Arabidopsis thaliana: one gene and its partners. The protein of the gene in region 2 purifies or fractionates together with the protein of the main gene of each other region. This does not show direct contact. Each region holds a gene or a part of one and is shown on either strand. Other genes may lie near its edges. The genes, in order: AT5G20160, U2A' and AT4G22380.

Region 1 (3,752 bases), on a different chromosome or scaffold from region 2:
TACAAATCTCGGTAGTGATAAATTGTTAGGTTTTGACGATAATTGTACTTGCTCAGTTTTTCATGTGTTTAGTTATGATTCTTCTTGGGCATGTCTGTGTCTTCGAATCGATTCTCATGTGATTCCCATTATTGTTTTTTTTCTTCTGGTTATTTCAGATTCAAGGAAACAATTATTAGCTTCTCAAGTGCTTCAGTGATCCGATACAATGGTAGTTATTGCCTTCTCTGTTCCATTGTTAAATTTTGTTAATTTCAGTGATTTTGAGCTAAGAGTTTTGTTTATCTTTGATAAATTCAGTCAGCTTTGTTCAATTTCCATTCGTTTCTGACGGTGGTGCTGCTTGTGATCTGCACATGCACATATCTGAAGATGCAGTTCCCTGCCATTTTAGAGCAGAAAACTGGGTTTGTACCTTCTTTGTTCTCCTTTTTCGTGAATTTTATTCTCAAAACCGATAACACTAACACATTTGGAGCTTTGACACCGGTTATTGTTTTCAAGCATTGTCTTTTGCCAAATTAAAGATGCTTTGTCAGATTTCTCTGCATATTGTTACTTTAGATTGCAAATGTTACTTCATCCTAGTGCTTTTTTTGTATTTATAGCTTGCATCTAATGCCCTCAGTCATCACTTTGTTCTATGCATATTAATGATAGAAATTGCTTGATTAATTACTATTGCAGGTTTCGAGGATTTTTCTGGAAGGCTGCTAGAATAGGTAGGCCTTTTCACCCCTTTGGAGCTCAGTTATCTCTTGTGATTTCAAAACCTTTCTAAAAACATTGTGTTGAACAATATTTCTTTGCATGTGTTCTATAGAAAGTAGTGATAGGCTTTCTAGGAGCAAGAACTCGTTACTAATCAATGCAGCTACTAACAATTGTACTATAAATTCAACTCATGAATACCAGATTCTAATGCTTTAAAACCCATGGTCGATCTCCTATTTAAGCATATGCATGATGGCATATAGTTAAGTCTATATCCTCCTACTTTTACTGCCATTTGTTTTCCATCGCCGAACATTCTGTTGCTTAACTTTGCTTTGTCATCACTTGTACCAGGTGAGCGTTTGAGCCCTTGGGTCTCCGCTGGATGCTTCATGATGGGTGTGTCGATCATTTTCTTTTGAGTGTCAACTTCTTACATATCCAGTTCTTGTAGATTTTTACTTCTTTGGGATGCTCATTTTTCTGTATGCAAAAGATTCCAAGGGGTTGTTGATGAAACTGAAAGAGTAGAATATTATCCTCTTTGGATTATGGATATGGTCTTGTATTTGGAACAAATTGTGTCTGTTATTTTAATGTGGAGACAAGTCCATAAAGCTCAACCATAGAAATTAGTAGAGCATAAGACACCAGAACCAGCTAATAAAACGCATCTTTGTCGTAAAGGAAGAGAGTAATCACATACGTAACTTCAAGTTTACTAATTTCATTGAACTAATGAGAGCATCAGTTAATAAAAGTTTGTTGTGTGTGTGGTAGCTGTAAAATTATCAGTCAATTTGGATAATCGATCAGTTTTATGCGAGCAAAAAGAACAAAGGTGAAGTCATGGTTACCCTTTTGGGCTTTAATCAAAATTTCGCCGACAAAAGAAGAAACTAAAAAACCAAACTCCCAAAGTCAAAACTAGTTCTGTCGGTTAAGGTTAGTTCACATGGGCCGAAGTATATCATCACCCAGGCCCATTAAAAAGATGTATAAAATCGACAAGCATATAAGTAACAGCGTAAGCCTAAGTTATCATTCAGAATATTCAAGCTGAGAAAGTCGTAGCCTCTAAAACCCTAATCCTCTCTGAAACCCTAGACATCGCAGCTGAAAATGGTACTTCTCTCTTCCTCTTTCTTCTTTTCGGTATTATCTTGCAGTGTTTTCGAAGGAATCTTACTCTTTGATTGTCTGATTTGGGTTTTAATTTGTTTTTGTTTTCGTTTCTTCTTGCAGACCGGAGAAGTCGTCAACCCTAAAGCGTATCCGCTTGCAGATTCTCAGTTATCGATAACAATTCTTGACCTCGTTCAACAAGCTACTAACTACAAGCAGCTCAAGAAGGGTGCTAATGAAGGTATCCGCTTGTTACTCATGTGTGTTTGTCTCTCTTATTTATTGAGTTTAATGTTTGTGAAGTTGTTCCTGATTTATTTAAATTTGTTCATTTCAGCTACGAAGACTCTTAATCGTGGAATCTCCGAGTTTGTTGTCATGGCTGCAGATGCTGAGCCTCTAGAGATTCTTCTTCATCTTCCCCTACTTGCTGAGGATAAGGTTTGACTTCTTCTTTCTCTGGGTTTCTCTTTTATTATACACCAGTTTATTTAGCAAATGAGATATTTGTTTCCTTAGTTCATAGAAGAGAATTAAGTTTACTTGCTGAGGATATAGTTTGATTAGTTTGTGCCAATGTTCAGCCAAGTTTTGTATATCATTTTGTTAACTAAACTCTGATTTCATACTTGTTGGAGTTTAAAATGACAGCTTTATGATTGTCTTTTATGATTTTGTTTAGCTTGTATGTTTTTGATTCTGTAATGCTTTGTTGTTCTTATATACTAGTTTTCTATATTCTTACTTTCTTTGTGAATGTTTTGTAGAATGTTCCTTATGTCTTTGTGCCTTCAAAGCAAGCCTTGGGAAGAGCCTGTGGTGTGACTAGACCTGTTATCGCTTGTTCAGTCACATCTAACGAAGCTAGTCAATTGAAATCACAGATTCAACATCTCAAGGTAACTTAGCCCTCACTTGTGTACTCTCTTTATAACCTTGAACCATCATTGATTCCACAGAATTGGTTAATCATTAACTCTTTTTTTACATTTCTTCAGGATGCTATTGAGAAGCTTCTGATCTAAGGCATTCTCTGAATTGATTGCTCGGTATGATGGGTCTCCGCGAATGGGAAGGCTTTGACTGAAGTTTTGTTTAGGCAACTACCAAATCAAAAACCGTCCATTATTCTACTATCTTCTCTTCAAGTTTGTAACGTAATTCACTTTTCTGCAACTTGGTTTCTTAAGAATTTGTGTTGGTTTCTGGTTTTGGTTTGTAGCGAATCATTGTGTTATTTATAAGAACTTGTTTTGATATCTATCACAAAACGAACAAAAAAATTGAAATAAAAATTGAAGGACTTGAATTGAGATTGAATACGAAATCAATTGGTCTGTTGCATTATGCAAAGTCTTACCTTGAATTGAGATCGAGTCACTAGTATCATTTGCAGTCATCATTTCTTCTTGAAGAGGATTATGAACTTGTATATGTAGTAGTAGAGAACTTGAAATATCTAGCATATGACTTTGGAAAAGAAGAAATCAATAATTAATCTGAAGTGGTATATATTACATCAACTACAACACACCCAACACAGAAACAAAGTTACATTGCAGTTTTGTGTAACCTAAGGACTTATGACCGACCAAAGATGATATCCAGAAACATGATCCTATAGTTTCTTCTGCCTTTTTGTGTACATTGATGATAATGTCTTGTTTAATCTGTTAGCTTCTTCTATTGTATAAAAAAGTGGAATAGAGCGAGTGTGCCTCTGTCTCACTCTCTATTTGGCTTCTTGCTCCAACAATGGAATCTTCTTCCATGTCTCATCTAAGCCATTTAACTGTAGAGGCGGCAATGAAAACACACTAACAGTAGAACTTCCACTCCTGATCTCCTTCAAAACCCGCAAGGCAGCGATTGTGCTCTTCATATGAAGACTCTCCATGAACTTATGCTCTGAT
Region 2 (3,752 bases):
AGTCAAACCAGAGCGTAAACTCCTTCTAGCTTCCTCTCGTCTCTGCCTCTCAAGTTTTGCACTTTCGTGCATGTCCATGTCTTCGTTAATGTGAAGTTCATCCCTGAAGGGAGTCCCTTTGGGTGTCATAGAAAAAGAAGACCCATCCCTTGATGGCGTCAAGCCAATTCTTGGAGTAAGACCAGCACCACCAGGAGTCATTGAAGGGGTCAACATTGGATTAGGCGTTTGAATCTCCTTCTTTCTCGGAGTGACCCCAGTGAAGTCAGAAGGGTGCAACTCAGGATTTTCTCCTCCTAGCAAAGGTGTCTGAGAGTCTCTTAATCTGGCCAGGTTTTCTGCTTCCATCATAATAGCATCACCTTTACCAGCAGGAGTTCTTTGAGGTGTCCTCATGGGTGTCATTCCTTGCCTTGGTGTTTGTGAGTAATTTGCCAAAAGTGCACGAGTAGCAGCACTGCCTTCTGTTAGCTCCTCATTCTCGGCAAGAAGGTCACTGGCATAGCCCATCTTAGCAATTTCTTCTAGCTCGTGGTCTGAAATCTGCGGTGGTGGTAACATCAGCTTTGACCTCTTCCTAACAACTTCCGGATCATTCAGCTTGTTTGCTTGCAATATAGCTGCTGGAGCATCCTGTCTCTGAGCAATTTTATTCCTTGCAACATCTTGTTTGCGTAAATGTGCTTCTACATCAGCTCTTCTTTTTCCTTCAAGTTCTTCAATGGTAGTTGGAAATTTTACTTGATCAGCAGGACGATCTTCATCCGCAGTATCATAAAATCCCGCAGGTGCCCTCTTTTCAAAAGGAATTTCTGCATTATAGTCGATTCCCTTTCTCTTTCTTTTCCTATGCCTTCCATCAATCCCAGCTGCTTTTAGTTCTCTTCTTTTTTGCAGAGAAGCAAGCCTTCTAGCTTCCTCAAGTTGTTTTTCTCTAGCTTTTCTTTTAGCCTTCTTTCCCCTCGTGTTAGCCAATCTAGCTCTTGCTTCAGAAAGCATTTCTTTCTCATCTTCGTCCATGTCTACCGGATCAGGACGAGCAGGCTTTGCTTCTGGGTTCGGATCAATCTCACCAGGACGTAATTTTCGTGGATCATCCGCTGCATCATAATTTTCATCCTTAGTGCATGCTGCATCAAGGAGCTTCTCATACCTCTCAAGACATTGAGATGGTGTACGACCCACAATAGGAGCAATAGTTCTCCATTGAGTAGGCAGAAGTTTAGCAAGATGTAGAAGCTTCTCATCTTCTTCTCTGGTCCATTCAGTCTACATTAACATCACAAAATTAAACTCAGTTGTAATTCAAAAACATAAGAAAACCTTCGAATACTCCAAAACTCCTAGCATTACTGCCTACACTTTCTATGAATTTCCAGATGCAAATCAATACATATATACAACTAAAGCACCTAGTAACAAGCTAACAAACTACCTAAAAGGCCAAATCCCCAAACAAAAAAATGTTCGCCAGATCCATAGTTTTTTTTCGAACACTACTAGTTAAGAGAAGGAAAACGCGAACACGACTTACCTTTTTGATAGATGGATCGAGCCACTCGTACCAGCGAGCTTTACACTGTTTAGCAGACTTACGAACGAGAAGAGACGAGATCCGAGCCCATTGGTTCTTACCATACTTCATCACGGCGGCTTTGAGAATCTCATCTTCGGTGTTCTTCCAAACACCTCCCTTAATCATAATCCTCATCTTCGCTCAACTGTTTTTGATCCAACCGCACTCCAATTCAAGGTCTCTGAAGCTAATGCTCGTGGAACTCGGTAAGAACGAAGAACAGAAGGAAGCGAGAGAGAGAGTAACCCTAGATTAGGGTTGGAACCAACGAAGAAGAAAAGATTCAATCGTTCACTAGTCCTTTTCTTTTTATTTGTTTTTTCTTTTTAATTTCCAAAATCATAAATATCGGGATACACTTATGGGCCTAACCGACTGGGCCAATTCAATGGGCCGTTTATTTAAGTGATAAATTAATAGCAAAGGTCATTTTGCTGCGTTTTTATGTCATCTCTAGCCACTGTTGTTGTCTCTTTCCTCTGAATGCTTAGCAGCGACAGAGCTCGACGAAGCAGTAAAACCCTAGTAGAATAATGGTGAAGCTCACGGCTGATTTGATCTGGAAAAGTCCTCACTTCTTCAATGCTATCAAGGAGCGAGAATTGGATCTACGAGGTACACTTCTTCTCTTTCCCATTACATTTTCTAGGGTTTTGTAACCCTAAACGCACCTGCTCTGGTTAATCGTTCGTTTTTCTGGGTTAATTTGTTGCAGGTAACAAGATTCCTGTAATCGAAAACTTGGGTGCTACTGAGGTATTTCTTTTTTCTATCGATTTTCGTTTCCTCTTTGTCTGTTAGCTGAAGAATTTGTTGATGCGGTTGTATTGTATGTTCTTAAGTCTGCCTGTTGGGTTTCGGCATTCAAGTATTTTGAAAATCATTGACAGAAACATTGTTGAAGTAGCTATTGCTCCTTTGTCTTAGTTAGTATCTGTTTTCTAGCTCTTTAGGAGTATATGTGGCTTCGTGTAATAGTACCTTTTTCTTACTGTGGATTCTTTACTTTTGAGAGCCAGTCTTCTCTAAGAAAGGCCTCCCATAAATTTTGTGTTTGGCTTAGGTAGATTATTTGCAGGTTTGAGGTTCTCTAATTAACTTGTCTTGGTTTGCTTACAGGACCAGTTCGATACCATTGATCTGTCTGATAACGAGATAGTTAAGCTAGAAAACTTCCCATACCTCAACCGTTTAGGAACTTTACTCATCAATAACAATCGTATCACCCGGATAAATCCTAACCTTGGAGGTAACATCTATCTGTGTGTTGTAAGAAATGTCAATTCAAACACATTGTTTGCTTTGTTGGTTACCTGTGTTGTATTTATCGTATGGTTGTACATCTGCAGAATTCCTACCGAAGCTTCACTCTTTGGTTCTTACAAATAACAGGCTTGTGAATTTGGTTGAGATTGATCCCCTTGCCTCCATTCCCAAGCTGCAGTACCTTAGTTTGTTGGATAATAATATCACCAAAAAGGCAAATTATCGCCTTTATGTGATTCACAAGCTAAAATCACTTCGAGTACTGGATTTCATTAAAATCAAAGCCAAGGTAAGGACCTTATCATATGCTTTATCAACTGTTCATTTTTGCTTACCCTAGATGCCAACTTAATGTTATTTTATATGCTACAAGTCACCGGGAGCTAACCTTAATATCATCTGAAAAATAGAATATCTGAGAGCAAGAAATTGGTCTGCCTTTTGTCTTACGTTGTTTAAGATTCTTGTGCACAGTTATATCTGTATGCTGAAATAAGAAATTTCACTAATATTAACAACATTTAGCTAAAAGGGTTTGCTTAAAGTATATATAGTTTGGGTCTTGATGACTTGGTTGCCTGATTATCTTAAAGTTTTTTGTATTTAGGGCATAAATATAAACCAGACTTGATGTAGGGTGTGGTGTTTTTATTTAATTTCCTCGTGTTATAACCTTGTAGCCTTGGATCGGATAATAGTTTGGCTTTATCCTTTAGCCCACTGTTGTATATCTAAATTTTACAATGGTTATAGCAAGACCTTTTACCTGACATTATTGGTTCCTAACAGGAGAGAGCTGAAGCTGCATCTTTGTTTTCATCCAAAGAAGCAGAAGAGGAAGTTAAAAAGGTTTCTCGGGAGGAGGTTAAAAAAGTGTCAGAAACTGCAGAAAATCCAGAGACTCCGAAAG
Region 3 (3,752 bases), on a different chromosome or scaffold from region 2:
TTCCTGATCTGATTTCTCTTCATCTATGCTCTCTTCCCAATCTGATTCCGATTTTCTTACCCTTGTGTAATGCTTCAAAGTGCTTCGATGTGAGTGTGATAGATCCAGATGAAAACTCGTATTGGTAGAACCCTTTCGAATTGACACGCGAGAATTCTTCGTGTAAATTGAGCATGAGCTAAAGCTATTTATCCCTGAACATAGTTTAGATGAAAACATTGTTTGCGTAATTGACATATATGAGGATGCCATTGCTTGTAAAATGGAGGATGGTTTTGCTGACTACATAAGATTGCAATACTTTATAAAAAGCTTTGTGAAGAACATAGATTTTCATTTGTATAAGTGAAGTCTGGAACAAACGAATAAAAGAATGTGTTTGTTTGTGGACAAAGCAAAGCGATGAAAAATGTAGCAAGTGTTGGAAGATAAGAATAATTTTCGATTTTTTCGTAATGGGACTTAAGGATAGATCGTTAGTGTAATAAATAGACAGTTAAAGAACCATGACGGCTCTTTACCTGTTATGTCTCAATACAAACCAAGCAGTGCTTGGCAAGCACCAAAATAAAAATCTAAGAAACTCAATTGTACAAATGAGCGATGATGATCCACATACTAAGCATTAACACCAGTCACAATACATTCTTCAAATAGGTAAATCACACAAACTAACTTCAGTCAGAGCCATTCCACATTGCAGAGACTCTTCATACTGAGCAGAAATCCTTAGATCAGGAGCTTCTCAATTGCATCCTTGAGATGCTGAATCTGCGATTTCAACTGGCTTGCCTCATTCGATGTCACTGAACAAGCAATAACAGGTCTTGTTACTCCACATGCTCTTCCCAATGCTTGTTTCGAAGGTACAAACACATATGGCACATTCTGCATTTAGATGGAGAGTACAAAAAAGCGTTAGTTCAAAATCAGACCACGTAATAATTGCTTGTATAGTAATGAAGCTTGTTCAAATAGGATAAACTATAGCTATGATGAATCATGTCTTCCTCAAGAGTGAACTCAAAGCTACAATTTTTAAACATAAACTAGGAGAAACTATAGCTATGATGAATCATGTCTTCCTCAAGAGTAAATTTGAAGCATACACCAATAATTACATAGATACAATGATTCAATTGAAGACCAAAACAGAGTAAACAGAGAAAGTTTCCTGAAAGAACTCAACAGAGAAAAGTATGTTCAACACAAAATTGCATAAAGCTAAGAATGGCTTCTTAAGCTTCTAACAACCACCAAAATCTGAGAAACACTAACCTAACGATACACAGCCTCAAAAATTGCAACCTAATAGCTCTCTATTCTACACGAGTTGAATTAAAATTGCAACCAAATCATCGAGAGAGAGAAAGAGATGGTAACCTTATCTTCGGCAAGCAAAGGAAGATGAAGAAGAATCTCAAGTGGTTCAGCATCAGCAGCCATAACAACGAACTCAGAGATTCCACGGTTCAATGTTTTGGTAGCTTCATTAGCTCCCTTCTTAAGCTGCTTGTAGTTAGTAGCTTGTTGAACAAGATCCATTATTGTTATCGAAAGCTGAGAATCTGCTAACGGATACGCCTTAGGGTTCACTACCTCTCCCGTCATCTTCTTCGTTCTCAATAAGCTCACAGAAAGAAATTAGGGTTTTTGAAGGATTTGAGAATGTTTACAAATCTGTCCTTAACCCAAAAAAAGAAGAAGGTATATATATAGAAACATGACTCGGGTCGGGTTTTCGGGTTTCGCTTCGGATTGGTGAATCTGGGACCAAACCGACCTTTGATGTCGGTTATTTCTGTCTTATTTCAATTATTTCGGTTTAGTTCGGTTTATGTTTGTCCAATTTGGACTATTTGACATCTCTTTTAAATAAACGATGTTGTGTTTAGGTTTAGCTATAGACGATTTACGTTCATAACATTGCGTTCTCTAAACTCTAGTAGATCCTCTTCATCAACAATATTTGCGACTAGATTTACTTTTGATTGAGATTGATAGTTTCAAGTCATATCAAATTGCAAAAGACCATACTGATAAGAGTTTTACATATAAATTTCAGTCGATTACATATAGAAGAACACTATCTTATTATTTCCTTACGACATCATACTACGTACATAGGGTTAAGCTTATTAGTACTAAGATCTCACATGGGTTTAGGATTTTGCCATATCCTTTCCCCCTGCCACTGCTACTGTTACTGTACCTGAAATCAAACACAGATCAAGATTTTCTTCTACATGTTTCAAACTCAAAAACACTTGAAATAGTCAGATTTTAGATAAAGCTCCTAAGCTTGTTTATGTTAAACTATGATAAGATTGGAAATCTCACATCGAAAGAAAAGAAGATGCCAACTTAAGGAAATACTCAAGATCTTTAGATCCATTTCACTTACCTTAATCTAATGTTTGGGCTCAGAAGTTTCCCTTGCTTTGCTCATAGCTTCAGCTTGAATCCCTTGGACAGAAAACCATCCCTGAGAATGTAACACAAGATGTTTAAGCATGTTGATACGGTTAAACCCTTTCTACAATTCTTCATGGAAACAAACTGCGTAAGAAAACACTAACTAGAGAAGGGCATACCACCTTTTAGTACTCTTTGGCATCATCTTCTGATCTTTACTGCGCTGAGCTTGAGTAGGATCTCCTTTACATCCCAAAACAAGGCTACTCACGAGGATGTCTGCGGTAAATGAACTATCACACTCTATTCCGGCAGTTGTAAGACTCTGACTTTCCAAATCAAACCACATGAGATTCGCCGCATTGTTAATCTCCAGCAAAATCTTGCTCCTGTCCTTGGAACAGATCAGAGGTCTAATGAACTCAACCGATTCAACACTCTCTGGTTTCGGCACCCTATACAGCTTAGTCCAAGATTTATAATCCTCATACTCTTTCAAAACCCAAACATCAACATGGCTATACTCGTCGTAACACATCAAACAAACGCAGCCATCTAACACACCAATATCCATGTTATCTTCAATGTAAAGCTCCTGTGGGAAACTGAGGACTCCAATGTCATCAGAGGCAAGATCATATTTGATTATCGCGTTAAAGGCAATGACTCCCTGCCTTCGAGGCAAAATCCAGTGAAGATGGTTGTTAACAACCACACCATAGCCACGACGAGGCAAGAGATGGTAATAGTACGAAATCCAAAGAATCTGAAACTCGAACATAAGACACACTCTCTTCCACGAATTCTTCTTCAAGCTGAAAACTTTGACTTCAACAGGGCAAGGAAATTTCTTTTTACCTTCTTTAAGCTTACACTGAACAATCCTCACAACTTTAAAGTCATCGCCCACAGAATCATAACCCAAACCGTAAAACACATACTCACGAGTGATGTCACGTTCTGGGAAATCAATTGGCTCAATTGGTAAACGGTGAATCTTCCTAGTCGAAGGATTAAAGATCGCTAGATCAACAGGAGAGTTACATAACCCTATGACACCGTTAAATGAACCAAAAACCTCTGTAAAACCTCCGGCTTGTAAAGGATGAGGGATGTCGGAGACGTTCTCAGGCGAGTCTAGCTCCACCGTGCGTAGAAGACGAGGTCCTCGGAGTAAGATCATGAGATGTTCTCCCGTTTCGAGTCTGCGACGGAGATGAGATGAGACGAACTCGGGACTGTCGATCAAAGAGAAGCAAGGCTTTGAGAGGACGCGACACTTTACGAGCGTAGTTGCTCTGAGACGGAGAAACATTTCGTTGATGAGATCCGTCGGA

What was found.
Region 1: the proteins of U2A' (region 2) and AT5G20160 fractionate together in Arabidopsis thaliana (co-fractionation; one large-scale study listed by BioGRID). This does not show direct contact.
Region 3: the proteins of U2A' (region 2) and AT4G22380 fractionate together in Arabidopsis thaliana (co-fractionation; one large-scale study listed by BioGRID). This does not show direct contact.

Annotation. Positions count from the first base shown.
Region 1 is NC_003076.8:6,803,187-6,806,938, reverse strand, and holds AT5G20160 (Ribosomal protein L7Ae/L30e/S12e/Gadd45 family protein), read left to right. Parts: upstream 1-1,743; 5' UTR 1,744-1,836; coding exon 1,837-1,839; intron 1,840-1,959; coding exon 1,960-2,280; coding exon of another isoform or gene 2,281-2,286; exon of another isoform or gene 2,287-2,606; coding exon 2,607-2,738; intron 2,739-2,837; coding exon 2,838-2,864; 3' UTR 2,865-3,157; downstream 3,158-3,752. Other genes in the region: AT5G20165 (kish-A-like protein), read left to right, coding at 209-211, 301-407, 505-573, 688-722, 916-977; SPX1 (SPX domain-containing protein 1), read right to left, coding at 3,572-3,752.
Region 2 is NC_003070.9:3,159,961-3,163,712, reverse strand, and holds the start of U2A' (U2 small nuclear ribonucleoprotein A), read left to right. Parts: upstream 1-2,020; 5' UTR 2,021-2,109; coding exon 2,110-2,191; intron 2,192-2,291; coding exon 2,292-2,332; intron 2,333-2,695; coding exon 2,696-2,825; intron 2,826-2,925; coding exon 2,926-3,131; intron 3,132-3,631; coding exon 3,632-3,752. Other genes in the region: CDC5 (cell division cycle 5), read right to left, coding at 1-1,269, 1,535-1,711. UniProt on the Arabidopsis thaliana protein: This protein is associated with sn-RNP U2. It helps the A' protein to bind stem loop IV of U2 snRNA.
Region 3 is NC_003075.7:11,811,312-11,815,063, forward strand, and holds AT4G22380 (Ribosomal protein L7Ae/L30e/S12e/Gadd45 family protein), read right to left. Parts: upstream 1,690-3,752; 5' UTR 1,612-1,689; coding exon 1,384-1,611; intron 889-1,383; coding exon 730-888; 3' UTR 420-729; downstream 1-419. Other genes in the region: AT4G22370 (uncharacterized protein), read right to left, coding at 1-252; AT4G22390 (F-box associated ubiquitination effector family protein), read right to left, coding at 2,446-2,485, 2,595-3,752.